5 linked regions of the Neurospora crassa OR74A genome follow. The protein of the gene in region 2 binds, or shares a complex with, the protein of the main gene of each other region. Links are inferred from orthologs where the notes say so. Each region holds a gene or a part of one and is shown on either strand. Other genes may lie near its edges.

What was found.
Region 1: naf-1 (region 2) and NCU03515 share a complex: the UniProt entries of both Saccharomyces cerevisiae proteins name them as parts of the GIN4 complex. The link is inferred for Neurospora crassa OR74A from reciprocal best matches to the Saccharomyces cerevisiae genes NAP1 and CDC10.
Region 3: naf-1 (region 2) and NCU03795 share a complex: the UniProt entries of both Saccharomyces cerevisiae proteins name them as parts of the GIN4 complex. The link is inferred for Neurospora crassa OR74A from reciprocal best matches to the Saccharomyces cerevisiae genes NAP1 and CDC12.
Region 4: naf-1 (region 2) and NCU02464 share a complex: the UniProt entries of both Saccharomyces cerevisiae proteins name them as parts of the GIN4 complex. The link is inferred for Neurospora crassa OR74A from reciprocal best matches to the Saccharomyces cerevisiae genes NAP1 and CDC11.
Region 5: naf-1 (region 2) and NCU08297 share a complex: the UniProt entries of both Saccharomyces cerevisiae proteins name them as parts of the GIN4 complex. The link is inferred for Neurospora crassa OR74A from reciprocal best matches to the Saccharomyces cerevisiae genes NAP1 and CDC3.

The regions. Positions count from the first base shown.
Region 1 is NC_026502.1:407,690-412,040, forward strand, and holds NCU03515 (cell division control protein 10), read left to right. Parts: upstream 1-1,720; 5' UTR 1,721-2,123; coding exon 2,124-2,244; intron 2,245-2,310; coding exon 2,311-2,873; intron 2,874-2,923; coding exon 2,924-3,253; 3' UTR 3,254-3,778; downstream 3,779-4,351. Other genes in the region: NCU03516 (mitochondrial ribosomal protein subunit L32), read right to left, coding at 539-591, 673-1,009. UniProt on the Saccharomyces cerevisiae protein: Septins are GTPases involved in cytokinesis that assemble early in the cell cycle as a patch at the incipient bud site and form a ring approximate 15 minutes before bud emergence, which transforms into an hour-glass shaped collar of cortical filaments that spans both sides of the mother-bud neck.
Region 2 is NC_026505.1:4,745,682-4,750,255, forward strand, and holds naf-1 (nucleosome assembly protein), read right to left. Parts: upstream 2,969-4,574; 5' UTR 2,695-2,968; coding exon 2,648-2,694; intron 2,571-2,647; coding exon 2,491-2,570; intron 2,413-2,490; coding exon 1,693-2,412; intron 1,636-1,692; coding exon 1,310-1,635; intron 1,245-1,309; coding exon 1,194-1,244; 3' UTR 490-1,193; downstream 1-489. UniProt on the Saccharomyces cerevisiae protein: Acidic protein, which assembles histones into an octamer (in vitro). Involved in the regulation of the localization and the function of the septins during mitosis. Involved in the function of B-type cyclins.
Region 3 is NC_026505.1:2,438,900-2,443,403, reverse strand, and holds NCU03795 (cell division control protein 12), read right to left. Parts: upstream 2,856-4,504; 5' UTR 2,347-2,855; coding exon 2,242-2,346; intron 2,171-2,241; coding exon 2,008-2,170; intron 1,940-2,007; coding exon 1,629-1,939; intron 1,572-1,628; coding exon 993-1,571; 3' UTR 493-992; downstream 1-492. Other genes in the region: stk-24 (pyruvate dehydrogenase kinase), read left to right, coding at 1-189; NCU03794 (periodic tryptophan protein 2), read left to right, coding at 3,585-3,715, 3,783-4,504. UniProt on the Saccharomyces cerevisiae protein: Septins are GTPases involved in cytokinesis that assemble early in the cell cycle as a patch at the incipient bud site and form a ring approximate 15 minutes before bud emergence, which transforms into an hour-glass shaped collar of cortical filaments that spans both sides of the mother-bud neck.
Region 4 is NC_026501.1:2,406,302-2,410,784, forward strand, and holds NCU02464 (neuronal-specific septin-3), read right to left. Parts: upstream 2,885-4,483; 5' UTR 2,513-2,884; coding exon 2,498-2,512; intron 2,344-2,497; coding exon 2,268-2,343; intron 2,193-2,267; coding exon 2,076-2,192; intron 2,008-2,075; coding exon 1,782-2,007; intron 1,716-1,781; coding exon 1,248-1,715; intron 1,182-1,247; coding exon 911-1,181; 3' UTR 228-910; downstream 1-227. Other genes in the region: NCU02465 (hypothetical protein), read right to left, coding at 3,842-4,075. UniProt on the Saccharomyces cerevisiae protein: Septins are GTPases involved in cytokinesis that assemble early in the cell cycle as a patch at the incipient bud site and form a ring approximate 15 minutes before bud emergence, which transforms into an hour-glass shaped collar of cortical filaments that spans both sides of the mother-bud neck.
Region 5 is NC_026504.1:2,496,179-2,500,715, reverse strand, and holds the start of NCU08297 (cell division control protein 3), read right to left. Parts: upstream 2,940-4,537; 5' UTR 2,345-2,939; intron 1,935-2,344; 5' UTR 1,833-1,934; coding exon 1,829-1,832; intron 1,087-1,828; coding exon 820-1,086; intron 765-819; coding exon 298-764; intron 245-297; coding exon 1-244. UniProt on the Saccharomyces cerevisiae protein: Septins are GTPases involved in cytokinesis that assemble early in the cell cycle as a patch at the incipient bud site and form a ring approximate 15 minutes before bud emergence, which transforms into an hour-glass shaped collar of cortical filaments that spans both sides of the mother-bud neck.

The sequences.
Region 1 (4,351 bases), on a different chromosome or scaffold from region 2:
TCGCGGGAGGGAAGTTGTTTGGAGAAGGAAAGTAGTGGTTCTGGTGTTGGAGACAAGCAACTGGATGGTGGGGCAGCGACTGCAGCTTTCAAGACGTCACATCCGCGGTGCTAGCCGGGGTGCTCCAGAGCCTCCAGGTACGTACTTATCCGCCATCTTGATGTGGAATCCACCTTGAGGATGAGACAAACCGAGAGTCGACATTTGGCTGTTTGATAGTCCATGTTGGGATGAATTGATAGCTTTACTGGTTTGAATTTACAATGAGCGTTGAGCCCAAAGTTATGTGGTATCATCGATATCCTGGGGAACGCTCCCGGTGCCCTTTTCGATACACACCGGCGCGAACACTTTTGGTATATGTACAGAATAGTATACATTGTCTCGCTTCACACATGGACACCTAGATCGTACACAGATGTTGTGTGGTATGGGACGGATACAGCAACTGAAGTCAAGTGCCATCTTTCCCCGGGCATTATCACATGCCCTGATCCCATCATCCTCCCTCTCCTCTCTCCAACTCAGCATGCGCCGCTTAGTAGGCCTTGGCGTTGCTGCCACCATTACGGTCCATGAAGCCCTTGAGCTCTGTTGGGGTGTCATCAGTCAGTCAGCATATCTCCCTAGCACCATAAAGACATGAAGTATCCCAGCAGTTCCATCACATACTTCCCAGGCAGGTGGAGCACAAGTGGTGCATCCGCTTGAGGTTGCCGCAAGCCGGGCACCGGTTGAGATGTGTCACGTCCTTGAGCGCCTTGCCGGCCATCTGCCTGTGTCTCTTCTTCATGTGCGACGTCTTCTTCTTGGGCACGGCGCGCAGGATGCCTTCCCAGATGTCCTCGAGCAGCGACGGTATCGACGGGAGGAGCGAGATGGCGGCGGCGGGCACGGCGAAGTTGAGGGCGGGGACACCGAAGCGCTGTGTCCTGAGGGTTTGGAAGAAGGTCGAGGGGTTGAAGAGCCGCATGGCGGGGGCGGCAGCAGCAGCAGTCATGGCGGCCATTTTGAAGATTGGGGTATCGGGTTGGTTGCTGGGTGAAGTATACCTAGATGGAATTCGTTTTCGGATATGCGCAAAAAGTATTCTAAGGGAATTTGTAGTTGTCGCGCGAGATATTGGGGCTTCCGGTTCAGTCCCTTGATGATGTCGTGTCTTGCTCCCTCCCTTGTTCAAATTCCAAACCCTGCTGTGTGGCCGTCAAGGTGCTGTGTCCGGGTGGTCGGATCGCGAATCGGGAATCGGTGGACGGAGAGCGGAGTGTGATTTCTCGGACCAAAGCAAAAGGTGCTTCTTCCTCTGCTGGGCTGCCGGGGCCGAAAGTCGAGAACTGGCACCGCGCCCGCGCGGGACGGCAATCGTTGGAGGGGATCCACCCATCTCAGAAAATTCGGGCATGGGTGACACGGACCTACCAACCATTCGCGGTTCCCCCCAGGTCTTTTGTTAGTGCAATTAGTGCAGCACTCGCTGTCAAGTCAGTGCAGGTGCTGCTAAACCCGATTCGGGTGTTCCTGAAGCACTGACCCCACAGGGCCAATCAAACGAGCTGGGCGGCAAGGTGCGTGTCTGCCCCTTTCCCAGCTCCCGTCGTTCAGTGATTCGCAGGTTCAATTTGGCAGTCGACTCCCAGTTAGGTTAGGTTGCCTGGCCCCCTGGAAGTGGAAGGGAAATTGTGTTGTTTGGCAACGTGCAGTAGCAGCAGCAGCAGCAGCAGCAGCAGCGGGCAGCACTGCAGTGACAACCAACAGCCAGCCAGGTCCCGTCTGGCAGTCTTTCTGTAGGGGAAAGCACCATCACGTTGTCTTGGTTGGTGCCGTCGGGTGTCCAGTTCCATCTCCCATCCTCCCATTGCCCGATTGATTGAACCAAGCATCTGATTGCTTGTCCCCTAATTGCACTTTTGTTTCATTTCACGACCACACACACACACACCACTTCTCTTCTTCCCCGTTGTCCATCCCGTCCGTCTCCAGTCCAACCCACGCCCTTCCTTCGACCGCCCGACAACAGCCATCTTCATCTCCATTCGCTTCTCTCTCTTTGTTCCGCCGCCAATTCTCTTCCCGCCATCACCTGCTTTTTGGAATAATAAGTAGCCCCCATCAAGTTCGCAATCATGTCGACCATGGGCCCTGCCACCGTCCACCCCGAGACCCACGTCGGTTTCGACAGCATCACCTCCCAGATTGAGCGCAAGCTGCTCAAGCGCGGCTTCCAGTTCAATGTCATCTGCGTTGGTACGTCTACCTCTCCATTCTCTGCCATCAACCTATGCCCACGCAACTAACACCGCTTCCACCCAGGCCAAACCGGCCTCGGCAAGTCGACCCTCATCAACACCATCTTCGCTTCCCACCTCATCGACTCCAAGGGCCGCCTCCAACCCGACGAGACCGTCCGCTCCACCACCGAGATCCAGTCCGTCTCCCACATCATCGAGGAGAATGGCGTCCGTCTCCGCCTCAACATTGTCGACACCCCCGGCTACGGCGACATGATCAACAACGACCGCTGCTGGGATCCCATTGTCAAGTACATCAAGGACCAGCACTCTGCCTACCTCCGCAAGGAGCTCACTGCCCAGCGTGAGCGCTACATCCAGGACACCCGCATCCACTGCTGCCTCTTCTTCATCCAGCCCTCGGGCCACTCGCTCAAGCCCATCGACATTGTCGTCCTCAAGAAGCTGTCGGATGTCGTCAACGTGGTGCCCGTGATTGCCAAGTCGGACTCCCTTACGCTGGAAGAACGCCAGGCCTTCAAGGAGCGCATCAAGGAGGAGTTTGCCTTCCACAACCTCAAGATGTACCCCTACGACAACGACGAGCTTGACGAGGAGGAGCGCTCCCTGAACCAGCAAATCAAGGTGGGCTTTTGTACTTGCCCCAGAAAGTAACAATAGCTAACGTGACACAGAGCCTCATTCCCTTCGCTGTTGTTGGTTCCGAAAAGAGCATCGTGGTCAACGGCAAGCAGGTCCGCGGTCGCCAGAACCGCTGGGGCGTGATCAACGTGGAGGACGAGAACCACTGCGAATTCATCTACCTCCGAAACTTCCTCCTCCGCACCCACCTCCAGGACCTCATCGAGACCACATCCCAGATCCACTACGAAACCTTCCGTGCCAAGCAGCTATTGGCCCTCAAGGAAAGCAGTGCGCAGGGACACAGCAGCAGGCCAATCAGCCCGGCTGCGGATCGCGAGATGAGCCGCAACTCTCAACGCATGACCATGAACGGCTACTAGGAGAAGCCCAACCACAATCAATGAGGACAGCAAACTTGACGGAGAGTCGGCATGCGCAACACACTGCAATCCCCCGATATAGACGAACGACGACCGATACGCCCCTCGAGGATATGGGGGGCCAGAACTAAAAAGGCTTTGTTTGGGTCGGGAAACAAGCGATGGCGCAAACGGGATGCAATGCGTTTATTCACTACTGCCACGTCTTGTTGGTGATATGGTTATTTCGGTGGAGTGGACTTCTTAACCCCCTAATTTCGTTTTTAGTACCGGAAGCTCCATTGCATCTCTGCAGCTTTTGGGCCGACTTTCTATCTTAATGAGGCCTTGTCAGAGAGTATGCACTTGAGGGCTAGATTCAATATTTTTACGGAATACATACAGATGTGCCGAGAAAGGCGGATGGGAGCTTTCCAGGGAGGGTCCGAGGCAGAGCAGTTTAGAGACGAGGTTCTTGGGCCAGCTTAATTGTAGCCATGTTGTTTTATACAGATGTTCAATACCCAGCTTATTACGTACTTGCCGCTTTGGTTTCTTGACTTTCTTGACTTTGATGATGATGATGATGATGAGGATGAAGATGAATAAGTCTGGCAAAATAACCTGACCTGCTCTGTTTCAAAGAAAAGCCTGGAAGCTCAAGCTGACAATGAACCCAAGTCCCGTCCCGGGATGCCCTAGACTGACGTTAACTCCGGGGGCTGTTTACAGTAAACTCTTTGCCCCACCAATCCACGCGTGCCGTTCTCAGAGACACGTCCCACTCGAGTGGATTTCCCATTTGTGTCATTCCCGCATTCCCACAATTTCCATGTCGTCTTTCTTCTTTCTTTCTCATTCGCATGTCCATCTCATCCTGGAACCCGATCTTAGTCAAGAGACTTAAACCTTGGAATCGCCAAATCCATTCCATCAATCAATCAATCAATAACTCCCGTCGACCTTGATGTAAACAATCATGCGCTTCTTCATCATCGTTACCGACCACACGGATACCCAGTCGCATAGAGGTACACATCGCCACCATCCATAGCCATAACCGTTTACCTAGGTACTTTTGCAACAACATCACCATCCATCGCCATCCACCACCATCCG
Region 2 (4,574 bases):
AAGCACTCAGTTGGCAGTGTATGTTGGTCGCTTGCTCAATTTGACAGCCCTTTGAATAACATAGAATCGGGCTGTATTGCTTAACGTAGAGTAAAAATGGAAATATGAGATGTGGCGTGTGTTCTTCCCATGCTATCCGTACTTCCCGTCTTCTTGCCCGGGCTCCTCTTTTTTTTCCACCTCAGGAGAAGAAGGACTCGCAAGAATCGAGCTGACTGTCCGCACAATGTATAGGAAACTGCCACAGCGACCTGACATGGCTTTGTTGTCCCCTTGACTTTGTCCGAGCCAGTATGTTTTCATGTAGACAGCTTTCACTCGATTCAGCGCAGATGGTCTCTTATTTCTCCTCGTGTCCCGAGCACTGAATAGTGTAACAACTTCCCGGGTTCCATTATTTAGTTTACTTCCAAGTCTCGAGGTACTTACTACCTACCTTCAAACTCGACCGGGAGCCGCCAAGCTTGCGTGTCAGTAGAGACATCGCCAACTAAATTTCCAGAAGCCCAGCTCCCATCCTTCAGGCCTTCCAGGCACGCACTGCCTCAGCTCGGCGACTCTTTCGTCCGTTGAGGTTTACTCTATCTACATCACGCGAGGCTAACAAGGGTCATGACGATTTACATCCATCTGAGAACTCCTTGGAGAAGTCATCCGCCCCTGGTGTCGTGGCCTAATGAACTTGACAGTCAGACAGTCTACATCGAGTCACGCTGTTGGATGACGGTTTGTGATGTAGAAACACCTGCAATGCTGTACTATGAAATCAACACCTAAATCCTCCTAGAATCACTGCTTTTGTCCCGTATAATATCATCCCTTTACGCACAAATCGACCCTTGTTCCGGTTTAGTTCGCATATCTGCTCCCATCCTTGCGCTCTGACGTGCCACTGCTTCAGGGGTCAGGACGAACTATCCTGCTAAGACTTATGAGAGACAACCACAGCGTCAAGGCAGGTGCTGAAGCCAACTCCTCATGTGACCAATTCAAATTCTGTAGAATGGTTATCGATCCACCACAAGCTCCGGCCATCCGCACACTCCTGTTCTTCCTGAGCCCACGGCCACCCCGGTGCGGTCATGCATGACCCTCAATAATTTGGAACTCAGACGCCAAATGTCATTGGGCGTTCTGCCCCTTGCCTGCGTGGTATAGTGGTATCATTTTCGTGTTCATTCAGCGATCAGCGTTTAGCTCTGCTTGCACTCAGCAGCCTCCTGCTTGGGCTTGCTGCCGTCCTCCTGTGAAATTTGTCAGCATACCTGCAGAGCATAGCATGTGTTGGGGAAAATTCAGAAAGTCTTACATCGTCTTCATCGCTCTCATCCTCGTCATCCTGGTCCTCGCTGGCATCTTCATCATCCTCATCATCCTCATCATCGAACTCGGCGTCCTCGAAGTCCTCCTCATCGAGCTCCTCAAAGGCGAGGGCCTCGCCAGTGAACCAGTCGATGGCGCGGGGAATAAGCTTCTCCTTGATATCCTCACCGAGCTGGTAGTCGAGCTCAAGACGCTCCTCAATATCGGAGGTGGTAGACTCGTCGTCATCAGTGGGGGCCTTAGGGGGGGAGAAGAAGTTGAAGAAAGACTCGGTAGGAACGGTCTTCTTGACGATGCGGGTCTGCTTGGTGGCTGTGCAATTTGTTAGTGAGCAAGTTTGAGAAAATTCAAGCTGGAACTGCAACTCACTCTTGTTGCGTTGCTTCTTCTGCTCAACGCGGACAGTAAGATCCTTGTCCTCCTTCCAGTTGATCTTGTCACCCTCGGCGTGATCGTAGATAAAGTCGCCACCATAGCCGCTCTCGTTCTGGTAGTAGTAGGTCTTGGTGATAGTCTTGTTGGTGAAGTACTCGTTCTCAGCGAACTCGAAGATGAGGCGGAATCCGGGCTTGTCAAGGTACTCCATGCGGATGTCGGTAAGGGACTTGAGGGCCTCCTCGTCGCGGTCGGTGATCATCTCGGCGAGGGAGATCTGGTTCTTCATGGCAGAGAGCCAGAACTCGGGGATACCAGAGACCTTCTCGGCAGACTCGGTAGCCTTCTCCTCCTGGGGGGCGGCCTCGGTCTCCTCATCCTCCTCCTCCTCATCCTCCTCACCGGCCTGGACCTGGTCCTCAGTGGGCTCAGTCTGGCCGTTGACAATGGCGGCACGCTGTTGGTAAAGAGGAGTGAACTTGGCAAAGTACTTCTTCTCGAGCTGGAGGACCTCCTCCTGGAACTCGGCCTCGAGCTTGGAGTGCTCCTTCTGAATGCCCTTCAGGCCAGCGACACGACGCTTGACATCGGTAGGGAGAGACTCAATGTAGCCGGACGAACGACCGACAAGAGAGCCGAGACGACCCTGGATAAGGGACACAAGTCTAGGGTCCTTGGCGAAGATGGAAGCGGCGGCGGCACGGTCAAGATCCTCTGCAACGAACAGTAAGTTTAGCGACAAGCCCAGAAAACTACCAAATAGTCTCAGCAGCAGCAAGAATCTTCACTCACCCTCCTTGATGCTGGCAACACCGGGCTGCTGAGCGTGCGACGAGATGGGGGCAGTGTTAAGAGGAGTGTTCTGGGGGGTGCTGAAGCGAAGGCTGGTCAGTAACGGTACGCGATACTCGGGATGGGCATCCCATCAAGTCTGGGGATGAAAACTCACGGAGCGATGGGGGGATCAGCCCGCTTGTTTCTGATGGGCTCGGCCATTGTGTCTGGTTCTGGTCAAGAGAAGGAAATGAGTTGGGATACAGAGAAGGAAGCGGTGGTAGAACCCTGCGACCGACGTACAGTGGATGTCGGAGGGAGAAATGGGAGAAGGAAGGGCAAATTTGGATTGAAGAAGCGGTCGGGTGTAGAGATTGATGAAGGGGCCCCGGTGCTGGTGGGAAAGGCAAAAAGTTCTGTGGTTGCCGGTCGGTCCAGGCAGAGAAGGCTTGTTGTGCAGCAGTGCAAGAAATGTTGAGCGAGGGTCGGGTCTGGAGGGGACCGGGAGGGGAGAAAAGCTATCAATGGGGTTGCTATGAAAATTTGCGGGGCACTGGCCAGTGCGGGCAGGACAGTCGGGTCGAGGGCACTGCAGCGGGAGGCGCCCCGTTGGACCACTCCATGATGCCTGCACTGCGCCGGCGACCACCCAGCCCCAGTCCGCTACTTCCATTTGCTGCCCATGAGTCTTGTCGCTTGCCCTACACCACCACCTAGAGGTATTTGACCTTCAATTCTATTCCAGCATAGGCAAGGTGCCCATTGTCATGGGTCACGTCTTTTTAGGGTCAAGCTCCTCCTGTCACTTGTTTGACTCTACACTCGGCCATTGCATGCCCGGTCTGCTCGTCTGAACTGAAAATCCCCTCAGGTACCTACGCCTAGCCAGATGAACCTAAACATGCCATTGTTGTTCTTATCGTACAAAGCCCGTTCATGTACATCGCATTCAGGTAGTGTATTTCCAGGTTGCCCGTCGCGCGTCGCTTCCTGGCACCACATGCTTCAGCATTTGGCTGGCGTGTCTTGCGTGCTAGCGTTCTCTCCAGGGATCCCGGCCAGAGACATGATGTAGGGTAAATGATATTGGTGACATGCCGGCTTCATATACACAAGTTACAAGGTACCTCATAGGTGCAAGATAGTTTAGAAGTTGCTTTTCGTCTGAACTGCGAGCTGCTAATATTGGACGGGTGTTTACATCTCGCCTTCTCACCGGCGTCGGGCTGCGGTGATTTGCTTCTAACGTTTAGGGTCTCTCAACTCAATTAGGCCTCCAGAGCCGGGCAGGTTTTGGAAGGCAAACTTGAAAATTCTGCTGATTCACTCTGTCCTCAGCAAGTCAAAACCTCATCAGCAGAGGCAACTTGACGCACACTTTTCTGCTTATGACTTCGATTATGAGTCGACGCTGGGTTCAGCGACCATCATCGGACCGATCTGAACCATCATGGCCGTAGACCGTCGTGGGCGTCCAACCTAAGTCCAGGTGAGATGCTGCAGTGACCCCAGTACACGACGTACGGGCACGTATGGAGCACGTTCTCTCACGTTGTGGTGTAGTGAGACCGCTCGCGGCATCTGCCAAGTGATCATCGCGATGCCCACGAATCTCCATCGCCAACTGAAGCCGACAAGGTTTGGGCCAGAATGACCCTTGTTGCACTGTGCTTATCGTAAAAATCGTGGATAGCGACCCCCATCTCCGCCATCGACCTTTCTGGCTAGAGGTATGTAAGTAGGCAAGCGTTAGCGGACATGCTTGGCATTCGATTGGCGGGCAGTGTTGAAAGAAAAATCCCATGCCTGTGACTGCCCCACTTGCTGACTGCCCGTTGGGACGGTCTGGCCCCGATCCTTCTCCGTGACTCCGGCGTCCAGGTCAACAAATGTGAAGAAGTCAGACAAGAGGATTCTAGCTGGAGTCCATCATTCCCATCTCCAGTCATCGTGCGGAAAGCCTGATCCACTCACTTGAATGTACAAGATGGTAAGGGAAGTATCGTGGAAGTTATCCATGCGATCGCAAGAAGCCCTACTGCATACAGTTGTCCTTCGCTTCCATATTTAGTATGAACCTTGATGTCTTGTTTTGTGTAACC
Region 3 (4,504 bases), about 2.3 Mb from region 2:
ACAAGCCGCCCGCCGAACCTACGCCTGGGCATGGGGTTGCCTTTGAGCAGGGTGTACGCCGAGTACTGGGCTGGTAGCCTGGCGCTGCACAGTCTGGAAGGGTATGGGGTGGATGCGTTCTTGCAGATCTCGAAGCTGGGGAACAAGAATGAGCAGCTGACGACGCGGGCAACGATGGATGCCGTTTAGAGGATATCCAATAAAGTGTAAGTGGGATGGGTGGAAGGGGAGGAGAAAGGAATTATACCCAGTAATGGTTCGGTTCAGAAGAGCATAGGAAGGGCATCACAGTGACCTGGTGTAACGGATAGATTATTCACGCGTGTGCTAAGTCGGGCTTGGTGTACGGAGCAACCTCTTGTATTTTCAACGCAATATTGTTAACTGGGCATGATATGGAAATAGCAACTCACTTTAGTAGCACAGGTTTGCGCTTAGCTTAGAGACCTTTGTCAACTCTCAATTCGAAGCACTACAGTCATTAAGTCAAAGCTTGTACTCAAAAGTGGTAGCCTTTCTCATTATTTGGTATCATTGAAAGGGGGGTTGCTATCAGAATTACATCGTAGCTAAGACGGACAGAAAAAAAAAAACTGGCGTGATGGGGTAAAGTTAAGTGTAAAGGGTGTGGTAAAATGTCAGTTGCCGCTCGAAATCTTCCAAATATCTGTAACTTTTCATCCCCATCTCCTGGGCCTCCCTGCGCGATTCGGGCTATGCAGAAAGGGTCTGTGAGAAGATGAGGGAAACCCGGGCAAGTGTATAAAAACATGAGGAGCCTCCCCTTCTATAACAAGCCTCGATCGATGACCGCGCCATCCTACCAAACCGCAGCATATCCATGAACATCGTCTTTCAAGGTATGTAAGTCGCCCAGTTCGTCTTCACGTAAACATGTCGAAAAAAATCGAGGCGCAGGTACATTAATGCTCGATAGAACGGGAGACGGTGGTCACCCTTGTAGAGGATACCGCAAAAGCCGTGATAACCGCTTAGCGGCGACCGTGGCTGCGAACGGCATTTCCCTGCAGAGACTCGAGTTCCATCTCGAGGGACTTGATCTGGGCGTGGGTCTGTTCAAGGTCCTTGTTGAGACGGTCGCGCTCGGCAATGAGCTTTTGCTCCCACTGCCTGAAACGCTGCTCCTCGATCTTGACCTGTTCTGTGAAGCGCTTGCGGAGAGCCTCCTCCTCCTCCTTGAACTTGGGGTTGTCGAGCTTCCTTGGGCGAGCCTCGCCGAACTTGCGGGTCTCCATTTGCTGGGCGCGGTAAGCCTCGTAGTGCAGCTCCTCTGTTGTGTGGATAAGGTCCAACATGTGGGTGCGGATAAGAATCGAACGGAGCTTCTTGAAGTCGCAGTGTTCCTCGTTCTCGACTTCGGCCACACCCCACGAGTATTGACGGCCCTTGACAATACGTCCATCGCTGGTCTTAACATCCTTCTCGGAGCCGATAACGGCAAAGGGCATAGCGGCCATCAAGCTGCGTGCGTGTTGTGCGGCAGCCTCGTCATCCTCCTCAATAGGTGGCTGGTAGATCTTGATACCCTGAGCTTCGATGACGGCACGGATCTAGAAGTCATGGTTAGCGATGATGGGTGGTATCTTCAAGTAAAGGGAAAAACCTACCCTGGACTTGAACCTCGCCAGGTCGGCAGGGCTGAGAGTGTCGGCCTTGGCAATAACGGGAATGAGGTTGACGCGAGAGCAGAGTCTCTTCATGACCTCGATATCTAGGGGCTTAAGCGTGTGGCCGGTGGGGCGGATGAAGTACAAGCAGGCGTGGACACGGAGATCAATCTTGTCCTGACGGCGGGGTTGTTGCTCCTGGAGCATGTAGGACTCGTGCTGGTCGTCGAGGAATTCGATAATGGGCATCCACGAGTCGCGGTTGTTGACGTAGTCACCAAAGCCGGGGGTGTCGATAACAGTCAGGCGAACTATAAGCTGGTTAGACAGAGCTCTCCTACAAGACACCAAGGTCCCCCTGCGTGATGTGCTGTCGTACCCTTGAAGAACTTCTCCTCGAGCTCAGCCTTTGTGATTTCGATCTCGACGGTCTTGTCGACCTGCTTCTGGTGGCGCCTCTTGTGGTCGGCATAGTTCTTGATGGTCGTGGAGAACAGCGTGTTGATGAAGGTGGTCTTGCCGAGGCCGGACTCGCCAGCAACCTATCCACCCACGCCGTCAGCATTGGTTTTACAAGCGCGAGGTTCGGCAAGCTTTGGACAGTGAAGCGCACCATAATAGTAAAAGCAGCGCCTCTCTTAGCAACAATCTTGTGTCGCTGGTTGGGCAGATTGGCAATGCCAATCGGTGAGGCGCTCTCGGTAGTGGCAGGGGCCATCTTCAGCTGGGCGAAACACGAAACTGGGAGATAATTATGGGTAGAGGATTAAGTCACGATCCCGTTGCTGTAACGGCGAGAAGAAGCACCGGCAATTGGAGAAAAAGAGCGTCAGGCGGGATGCGTGGTGTACGGGTATGGTGGTGGTCGTGAATGGGAATCGAAATTAGGTTGGTGTTGACAGTGGACGGGTGGGAGCGAGAGGCAGACGGGGGATGGAACTGCAGTGGTGAGTGGACGGGGGACCCGTCGTGGAGCTCTGTGCTTTCGTTCAGGGGAATTTACTTGTTCAAATTTCCACACCACATTCATCTGGCCCAACCCAGCACCACACACCCACGCAGGAGAGAGCACCAGCGACGGGGACGGGAGCGCCAGGCCAAACCTAGCCCACACTGACTGAACCCCAAGCACTCCAGGCACTGCAGGGCCGCGGCAGCAGACGGACGGAGCAAGCAGCGAGCAAGCAGCATTCGATTCCATCCTCCAGATGAGGTGCCTGGGCGGGGCCACGGCAGCCGTCTGTGATGATGCCGAGAAGGCGCACGGTACACGATCCATATAATCCAATGGCACCTTTCGAGCCCGGCATTCTGCAGTAGTGTAGAGCTGCCACCACACAAGGCCGCTCTTGACTGGCTGCGCGGCAGGGAAATGAGTGGACCCTCCCCTTTTCCACTTGCTTCCCACACTTCCCCAATTCCAGGTCCCCAGAGACGGACCTACGCTGGCAGCTCTCCACTGAAACGCGCTTGCCAGGTACCCTCGCCGAGCATTTAATCGATGCGTGCCTTCCCTGCTAGCGCCATTGGCGGTGATCAGCCATTCATTGCCATGGAAACTTGGTCGACCCTTTGACCCTTTGATTGCCAGCTCTGCCAGCCTTGCACTGTGCTTGGTGACCGTGCTTGGTGGTGCCGTGCAGTGGTTGGTCTCGCTGCGGTCGGTGAGGCTGCCAGATACGCCAAGTCTTTTGCCAGCTGGTGCCAAAGCGAGGAGCTAACCCGACTCCATTCCCCGCCAAAAAGTTTATGAAATTTTTGGCTGGCAGAATCGCCATTGAACGTACGGGCGGTCTAGGCGCAACAGCAGCAGCCTGTAACTGAACTTCTGTTCCACTTACCTATACAGACTCGAAAGAGTCCTCCAGTTCCTGTACATAATCGAATCCCCAGATACTATCCCAGTTCTGCTCCATCTCCAACGTTGACAGTCGAGGCATGGAATAGTGTTTGAAAATGAAGACCGACTTCAAGTTTTCTAATCTACTGGGCACAGTCTACTGCCAGGGCAACCTCTTGTTCAGCCCGGACGGTACCCATCTCTTCTCGCCCGTTGGCAACAGGGTGACAGTCTTTAACCTTGTCGAGTACGTCTCAAGATTCCCTACACACCTGCCTGGCGCATGGCTTGTAAGCTGGCTAACACGGTCGCAGTAACAAATCATATACCCTTCCCTTCTCCCACCGAAAGAACATTGCGCGTATCGGTCTCACGCCCCAGGGCAACCTCCTACTCTCCATAGACGAAGATGGCCAAGCTATTCTCACCAACGTGCCCCGGCGCGTAGTACTATATCACTTCTCCTTCAAGGCTCCAGTAACGGCTCTCTCCTTTTCGCCATCGGGGCGCCACTTCATTGTTGGACTCGGCAGGAAAATCGAGGTTTGGCACGTTCCCTCAACACCCGACGCCAACGCCGACGGCGAGCTCGAGTTTGCGCCCTTCGTCAAGCACCATACCCACGTCCAACACTTCGACGATGTCCGTCACATCGAGTGGTCCCACGACTCGCGATTCTTCCTCACATCTTCCAAGGATCTCACAGCAAGGATATGGAGTGTTGATCAAGAGGAGGGGTTCACACCTACAGTTCTGTCCGGTCACAGGCAGGGTGTCGTGGGCGCGTGGTTTTCCAAGGATCAAGAGACGATTTACACAGTCAGCAAGGACGGCGCCGTATTCGACTGGCAATACGTTGCGAAGCCTGGACAGGACGAGGATATGGTGGACGACGATGACCTGGCCTGGAGGATAGTCAACAAGCACTATTTCATGCAGAACAGCGCCACCGTACGATGCGCCGCTTTCCATCCCGAATCGAACTTGCTGGTTGCCGGTTTCTCGAACGGTATCTTTGGCCTCTACGAAATGCCCG
Region 4 (4,483 bases), on a different chromosome or scaffold from region 2:
AGGCTCGAAATGTTGGACCAAAAAGCAACACAAACCAAGAACGGGAATGACTTTCCTCTTTATATCGTCTATGGAATTATATAAAAAAAAAGCACAGCGTTTCCGACCTAATATAATATTATCACTCCCAACATCTCTTACCCGCGCAACATCATCTGCGGCTTTCAAGTGTCGTAGCAACAAAAGCACGTAGCCATGAACTTGGTAAAATGCAACTCTGACAAAATCAACAACTTTTAAGTGTTAGCATCTCTATGTGGTAGGAGTACACACACGCTCATCACTAGCTCAATGTTATATATATGATCCGAGACAAGTGAAGTGCATTTAATTTAGTTGATATCTGCATTAGAAGTCCAATAGTAGAAGTTGGAAAATTCGGGGTGGTGCCACAGGTCTTGGACAAAACCTAAGGCCTCTAGAATAATCAAGACAAGTCATACGGTAATAATCGTTTCCCGTCAATACGTCCCCAGGCCTTCTTCTTGTCCCGAGCAGTCTGTTTCGGTACTTCTTGCTGCGTCGACGGCAGGCAAGCTGAGCATACCAGTTCCACTGACTAATCGACACGAAACCTCTGCGGTGAAGACATGCTCCTATGCCGCAATGCGGGTATCCCCGTCAATTTGATGAGGCTGCACTGAATACCGACCCGATTGAATGCCCTTGTCGAGACTGAACCCCTCACCGTGTTGTCGTCGTCACCATCGTATGTCTTCTTTGGAGCCATCATCTCCAGTAAAAAAAAAAGTCGCAAAATAGCGGGGAATATTTTATCAAACAACGAACAACACAAAAGAACCAACGCCTGCGTATAATGACCCGGTCGCCCTGTGGGGTATTGAAGCTGTTCATGTGGATGTAAACAGAGACGACAGATTAGGTATGTGTGTGCTAGTGTCGTTGGTGCTTAGTTTCCATCTGGGGAACCGTTAATTTCCTGATGGCTGTGGCTGGTAGTGGGTGTCCCTGCTTGGGCAGCAGCCGCCGCTTCGCGTTGCATGCGGGCTTCGATCTCACGAAGCTGAGATTCGCGGGCGAGGAGCTCCTGGCGCTTCTCGTTGATCTCGCGTTGGACCTTAACCTCAATCTCACGAAGCTTCTCCTCCTCACGACGCAGCTGCTCCTCCTTGAGTCGGACGGATTGGGATGCGAGATCCTCAGGGTTCATTGAGGAGTCACTATATCAACGTTAGTACTCTACTCCGCTACGTGGTTGCAATCGGAAGCTTCAGGGTAACACTTACACTCCAGCACCACCCTCAACGCTCTTGCTGAGCTTCTCGGTACGGTAGTTTTCGTATAGGAAATCGTGGGTGATCTCCTTCAGATCGGCGAGATGCGAGTGCAACAAGGCCGAACGGATAGCCAAGAAGTCGGAATGGCGCGGGTTGTCGACCTCAACAACACCCCATGGGTATTGGCGAGCGCGGACCTTGCGTCCTCCAATCTCGATGATATCTTCCGAGCCGACAATAGCGAACGGCATGAGACCCCTGAGTTCGGCGTTCTCCTCTACGGTATCCTCATCATCCTCCTCGATATCGTAAGGGAAGTTGTAGACGGGGATACGGTAATGCTCGATATCCTCCATCACTAGCTTCTTGGACTCGGCAAGCTCAGCTGGGGTGAGCGTATCAGCGCGGCCGATCACGGGAATGACGTTGACTCGGGGCGCAAGGCGCTTCATAAGCTCGATGTCCAGCTCACGGAGACTTATAGCACATGTTAGTTGCGATTCAAGATGTGTCAGGATGTGTAACAGAGGAAGTGAAACCTACCCATGGCCGGTCGGGGTGATGAAGTAGAGCATGGCGTGGACACGGTTGTCCCTGAAGCGGGGGTTACGCTTGATGCGCGACTCCTCCGCAAGAATGTCATCGTACTGCCTTTCGAGATAGCCAACAATCTCGGAGAAGCTGGCTTCATTGTCGATCTGGTCACCGAAGCCGGGGGTGTCGACGATGGTAAGGGCGATACGCGTCCCTTCCTCGTCCAGCTCAAGCTCTGTAGTATAGATAGTTAGACAACCGCCACTCGCACCGTAGGATCCTCGACTCGAGTGCGAAGCATACCAACTGTGATGGGCTTGATCTTGACGCCTTCCTCAACGTGGGCGGTCGCGGGATCATCGGAGTCCTTGTGAGTGAGAACCTCTTTGCCGCAGAGGGTGTTGACAAAGGTGGTACGGCCTGGGAGATAATGCAATGGTTAATCCTTGATCAGGGCACGACGGGATAGACTCGTTGGGGGTTGGAAGGACTCACCAGTTCCTGAGGCGCCACAGACCATCAGGCAGAACTGGATACCCTTCTTGACGTTCTTCTTGCGGCGCATCATCTTCTGCCGGGAGGAGATGGTGTTAGTGAACATGACGTGCAACCGAATAGCTTATTTGGGTAGCAATTGGCAGTGTTGTAGGTCGAGGACACGAAGATGGAGTGCCAGGACGGTGAGAGAACGACGAGAACGAGACAAGCAAACAAACAAAACATACGGCAGGCAGAGACATGGTGACAGCTGGCGGTTGGCGCCTTTAATTTCTCGACAACGGGTCCGTACCAACAAACAACAAAAGGGTAATAAGGGGAGTGTCTACCTCAGAGGATTGACTGGGGAAGAATAGTGGTGGTATGGTTGATGGGATTGGCTATCCAGTCACCAAAAATGCGGCGACCGAGAGATGTCTTGGAGATGGAGACGGGGTCGGGTAGAGGTGAGGTAGTGTTGGCCGTGTGAGAGCGAGGTATCGAGGTCGTGGGGAGGTCGTGGAGTGGGCGTTCGGATTGGAAAAGGAGAAGATGGCAAGTGCAATTTCACAAAATGTTGCGGTGTTACTGCAATGGACTGGACTGGGCTGCTTTGCCCAGAGTGGACGTGGGCGTGAACGCTGCCACACAGTGACAGGGCGGGACGGGATGATGGGGACCGGCCAGGACCACCTGTGCACCTCCGGGCAGAGCAGTGGCCAATGACCTGATGGGCGTGGCAGGGAGGGGACGGGAGGGGAGCGACAGCCCAGAGGCAGCGCGCTGGCTCGGTCTCTCACAGTGCCCTGAAGAGGGCTGCAACTATTCCAATTAACCTCTAGAGGTACGCTTCCTACCTAGGTATACAGTAGTAGCGATCCCAGCTGTTTGGGAGGAACCTCCTGTGCTTCCTTGCTTTGCCCAGAGCACGGATCCCATCCTCATCACGGGCTAGAATAAACACACTGTGGAGACAAACGGGACCAGGAAACCTCATATCGCAGGGCGGAAGTGGAAGTGGACGCTTGAGGAACGGCAACCTCCAGATGCGTCTGGATAGAATACTGAAGAGATGGACATGAAAAGCCTCCAGTAGCTCAAGTCCACTTCAGTGTTCGATGTCGTGGACTACCTAACAAGTACAAACACTGCTTCACACAACCAATCTACCGAGCACAGCTCATTCGACTCGTCACGGACGTCTTAACCTGAAGCTGCAATCAGATGGGAATTGGCAAGACCTGTCCCAATCCGCAATTAACAACAGCTCCATGGCAATCAGGGGGTCATTTGCTAAGCTCCTGACGCTTGACTAATTCTGGAAAAGCGTGTAACCCCAACCCCAGGCTGTCTTGCAGACCCCTCCCGGCGATTCGAGCTTCTGAGAGTGGGCAACTGGGGGTGCAGCTATGCCGTATGGGCAAGCAAGCGCATTGCCAGCTGTCAGCCATTTAATGTACATAGTACATACATGCATTAGGTGTCGCTCAAGTCTCTGCTGTCATGCTGTCGGGCATGCTTCTCGTCTTCATCATCAGGTTGATGTCGTGTTGGATGTGCTTCGATCCCGTCGATCCATCACCGGGGCTTGCTCAGTCCAGCTCATCGCGAGAGATCCAGGCGTCGTCCCCAACTCCCGGGGCGTAGAGGTACTTGTCATCGGCGCGGGGCAGGCGGGAACTTCCTCTTGCGATCCATCCCTCACTTGCAACCAGACTCCAGAGCTTCCTCCAGTCAACGTCCTGCGCATTACCAACATTCCACTTGGTAACCGAGCCGCCATGCGAGGCTCTCCTTGTCGGCCCGCCCCTGCTGAATCCCGTCATTGTTGTTTTCTGATCTCATTGTCTCTCTCTTAAAGAGCCTCCAGGATAGGTCTCGTCAGGCCTGAACAAAGCCATAGGTACACAATTCTCGCTCGATCACGAACGTTGTGTGGAGAAACCATACGGCTCTGGTATATCTGGATTGCTCCATACCCTTGATATTCCCGCAACTTCGACATACTGTTGTGTGCAGAGTGTCGAATGGACGTGGCGTAGTTGGGCCGCCTGCTTTGAGAGCTTTAATCAATCGATTGTGACTGCTGGGCGCATGCAGGTACTATCTTACATTATATCATCCACATTATACATGTCGACGGACTAACGACATCGTCGCAATTGCCTGGTATACGACACCTGCCCTATCTCGTCCACTTACAACCTCCCATACTTATCAAGCTCCTACGTATA
Region 5 (4,537 bases), on a different chromosome or scaffold from region 2:
GCATCTGGCGGAGCTTCACAAAGTCGCAATGCTCCTCATTGTCCACCTCGATCACACCCCAAGGGTAACGGCGACCGCGAACCTTACGGCCATCGGCGTTTGTGATCTCGTTGGTCGCACCGACAACAGCGAAGGGGACCTTGGACATGATCTCGTTGTTCTCCGCGATGGTCTCCTCATCGTCGAGTTCGTAGCGAGGGCCCTCAAAGATTTGCACCTTGTGGTACTTGATATCCGCAAGAATCTATGATAAACTGTTAGTATTGATCGCAGAACCAGTAGGGCCCGAAGACATACTCTAGCCTTGAAAGCAGCAATCTCGTCATCGGTGAGAGTATCCGACTTGGCGATGACGGGAATCAAGTTGACCTTGGTGTGGAGACGCTTCATGACCTCGATATCAAGAGGCTTGAGCGAGTGACCGGTGGGCTGGATGAAGAACACACAGGCATGGATCCTGTTGTCCACAATGTTCATGCGGTTCACCTTGTTTTCGGCATCCAAGTAAGCATCGAAGCGCTGTTCGATGTTGTCCACAATAGGACGCCAAGACTCGTCGTTGTTGACAAAGTCGCCGAAGCCAGGAGTGTCAACGACGGTCAAACGGAGGCGAACACCAGCCTCTTCAATATCGGCGCTGATAGACTGAATGGTGACAGTCTTGGGAACAATGTCGAGGCTAGGTCCCTTGCGCTCCTTGGGAGGGTAAAGCGAAGTGTTAAAGAGAGTGTTAACGAGGGTCGACTTTCCGAGTCCCGATTCACCTGCATGTCTAGAATTAGTAAATCTCCTTCAATGGACACAGAAAGCGTCACATACCAACAACCATGACATTGAAGTTGAAGCCCTTGCGGACGCTCTTGCGGTGCCATTGGTTGGGAAGGTTGGCGAAACCAACGTATCCCGTCAGCTTCCTTCGGACAATGTTTCGGTTGTCGCTCAAGGTAGAAGGGAGAGCTGCGGCCACGGTGTCAGAACCAGAAGCATCTTGATGTTGTTTCGTCTGAGATGGCAATGGCTGGGAAGTCGATGACTGAGGTACGGGAGCCGCCCTAACAGGAGGAGAGGTGGGAATACCGTTCGAAGCTGTCATAGAGCCAACGTTAGCATGATATCCATCATCTTGTGCCCAAAAGTATGTAATGTATGTCCAGTCAAGTGCGCGGAGCTCTCAACTACTAGAGGATAAAGGCCGCTTCGGTAATGGCTCCTGGGACACAGTCGGATCCGTAGCCTTGGGATATAGCTCGTCGTATGAGAATTGTTGGGTCATTGGCAACGTCGGGGCCGGGTCCTCGATTTCCAGCAAGCTCTTGTATCGGCGTAGAGCCTTCTTGATCATCTCGTTGTTCTCCCCAAGGGGCAAACTGCTGGTCCGTGTTCCGGAGACGGAAACGGGGGACACGGGACCATCCCGCGAGGCGCTTCCATCGATGGTTTCAGCGAGACTGGCGAAGCTCTTCTCAAACTGAACACTTTTGGCGCGGCCCCGGGTGGCATTGTGCATCATGGTAGCGAAATGCATTGCAGCGGAGTCGTTTGAACAAAGTATTTGGGTGGTAAGATGGTTCTCTTCCAAAAAAAAGACGGTTCCCAAGAAACGGTAGATGGCAAGCGGACAACGAATGTGATGATCGTATCAGAAGAACGAGCTGTGATGTTGGTGGGGGGAAGGGAGATGAAAAGTCGGCGAAGGGCGGCGTTGAGTCGGGTTTTGTTGAGCCCTTGGACCGTAGAGTAAGGTACGAGGAGGTCGGTGATCCGGCGATGCTTCCTGCGGCTTGGTCGAATGGGCAGGTTAAGTAGAGGACAGAAAGCAAGCGCTTACCCATTATAGCAGAAGGTACCGTGATGGTGATGTTTCGGTCGAGTCGAGAAGTGAACGGTTGATGAAAAAGGTAAAAAAATTCGGGATCGTAAGGAAGGCGCGAAGTCTGGAAGGTAAACGAATAGCGTCAGTCATTGAGATGGAAGCTGAATTGCACCCGGCATGTGTCTTCCTCCTTCTCCGTGCAGACGGCTACCGCCCACTCGTCAAGTGCCCTGCAGTGCGAGTCCGGTACTACCAGCACCGACACCACCTAAAACCCCAACGTGGATTGCGGTGGAGGCAAACGGGCTGGCTGGAGTGGCTGCTCGTATCGGCGCAGCCCAGCGGCAACTATGAGGGGGGCTTGTGACGACGAAGAGCACGAGATACCGGCAGGTTGGGGCAGTAGCAACAGAGCCATTCGGTATCTGTCGAGCCGGACGGGGAGGCTGTAGATACGTGCTCTGGGCTGGACCAGGAGCGAGCGTCTATACAGAGAGTATCGGAGTTCACGATCAAGCAGCATCAACTTACCGGAAGGAAGGCGAGCCGGTAGGGTAGATACCTCGATGGTTCGCGTATTGTCAAAGGTTGGGTAGTTGTCAATGGGCGCCGCCTAGTGCGGATTTCCAAGGCAATTGGCCGGTGAATCTGAAAGGTAACGCTGGATCGCGTATGAATATGAAAAGAGTGCCAAAGGTAAGGTACGAAATGAAGACGGGGACGTGATAACGGGGAGGAGAATGCTGAGTTGTTGCCGGTAGAAAAGAATGGGAAATTTTGTGTGAGGAGCGACGGCAGTCAGTGTGGCAGCAGCAAGCACCAGCAGCAGCAGCGAGCAGACAGGGCGGCTTCAGTCGAAGAAGATGGATGGATGATTGTGGATGGGATGGGGGGTGGGTATGGAGATTGGGTAGGTGTTTAGATTGCCTGTGCCTGGCTGCATCGACGTTCCGTTTGGAGCAGTTCAAAAGGGGTTCAGGTTCGACGTGCCAAATGTGGTGTTAGGTGGTGTCGTGCTGGAACCCGGATGGACGCCGGACAGGCCATGGCAGGCCCGACGCACCAGTGCCAGGACCACGAGTAAAACACTGCACACGGGCGCAAGGTCGCAAGGCCTCGCTCGCTGGTGGCCCGGCTGGCACATTAGACTTCGATTAGGAAGTGTCCACTGGCCTGACGGGTGGGCAACCTAAAAGGACATGCTAAGGGGAAAACTAATAAGCAGGGGTTGACACAATCGGACACATGATTGGTCAGGACATGGTTACAGCCCAGCATTTGGGGAAAAAGATGAGTGTGAATTCTGGGGCTCGAGAAATCCAATCTCAAAACTTGTGTCAACACAATATACTAACCTTGAGTAGCTGGCATCGAGCAACGGGAACTTCATCTTTTGTCTATGAGTAATATCTAACCCATCATCTCAACATGAGACCTATGAGACCTACACTAAGCTACCAGTGTAGAACGCAATACCAACAAGAGCAAACATTTGACAAGCAAGCAGAAAGGAGTAGGAACCACAAAGGTCATGCCGCCTCGGCTCAATTTGCCATGTCCGCACTGTACTAGCACGGATGTGACGATGAGCTAAGTACTTATGAGCCAGGGAGCTCCTGAAAATTAAATTACGTGCATTTGTTGGAGACCAAATCCCGTGCACTTTCACATTTTGATTTGCTTCGCGCTTCTCTGCAACTCTATTTGGTGCTTGGCTCTCTGGTATGACTGCTCATGATATTCGGACATAACTTGCTGAGGCTGGCTACGAGGCACGGGTAGGCGGGCTAGGTAGGTTTGAGCGCGTCTAGATCCCACACCCGACTTCGGAACCAGACGAGCGACTGTTTCAGTCAGGGCAAACAGCATCATCTCCTTCAAGTTGTCTTTGCTGGAGGCCAAATACCATGGATTATGTGTTTTTATATTATACGCCTGTTTCCGCCTGTTGATGAGACAGACATGGTGGCTACCGTCAGGCTCCTACACTCTGGATGTGGTGCTCGGGCGCTTGCATCCAAATATTGTCGCCGTGCTTTGGTGTAAATCCCGTGAGTTCTTGCTGGACATTTTGATCGGTGCGGTCGATAGGGATCACTTTTCTTCTTCAAAGCCGTCACGGTGGTCGATCATCGGAGACCCTGGATGAGATCAGAAAAGCAAGACACGGGACCAACTCGATGTCCCATGGTTAGAGAAACATGGCAATGGCGTGGCTTGGGACATTTGGGCGCATATCCGTCGATTTTCGGTGCATCCTGGAGCATACCGCTTCCATGTGGAGGTGGTTGCAAGATGCGCCTGGCCCTGATGGTCTGACACCCTGGGTGTGGAAACCCCAGTTCCATTCATACATAGAAGCTCCTCCAGTTCCCGTCCTCCATAACAAGCGAACGGGAATGGAGCCGCCTGGCTTTTTAAAGAAACAATCCGATCAACTTCCCCACATCCGGAAGGGCTGGACTGGACGCTTCGTTTTCTTATATTTTTTCCCGCCTCGGTCACAGAAATCAAAGACGAACACATTGGCCTTTCGGGAATTCCTAAAACACTCTGGCACGACCACATCTGTATACACAGTATCCTCTACTTCCCCACTAGGTAGAGGCAGTTTGGTTCCAGAATTGCATGCGGAGGATTAAAGTAATTCTCAAAGGTTCGGACGACAAGTATTGTACTTCGGGTGTTCCCGAGAAGTCACATGATTGGTTAATCGGTGCGCAC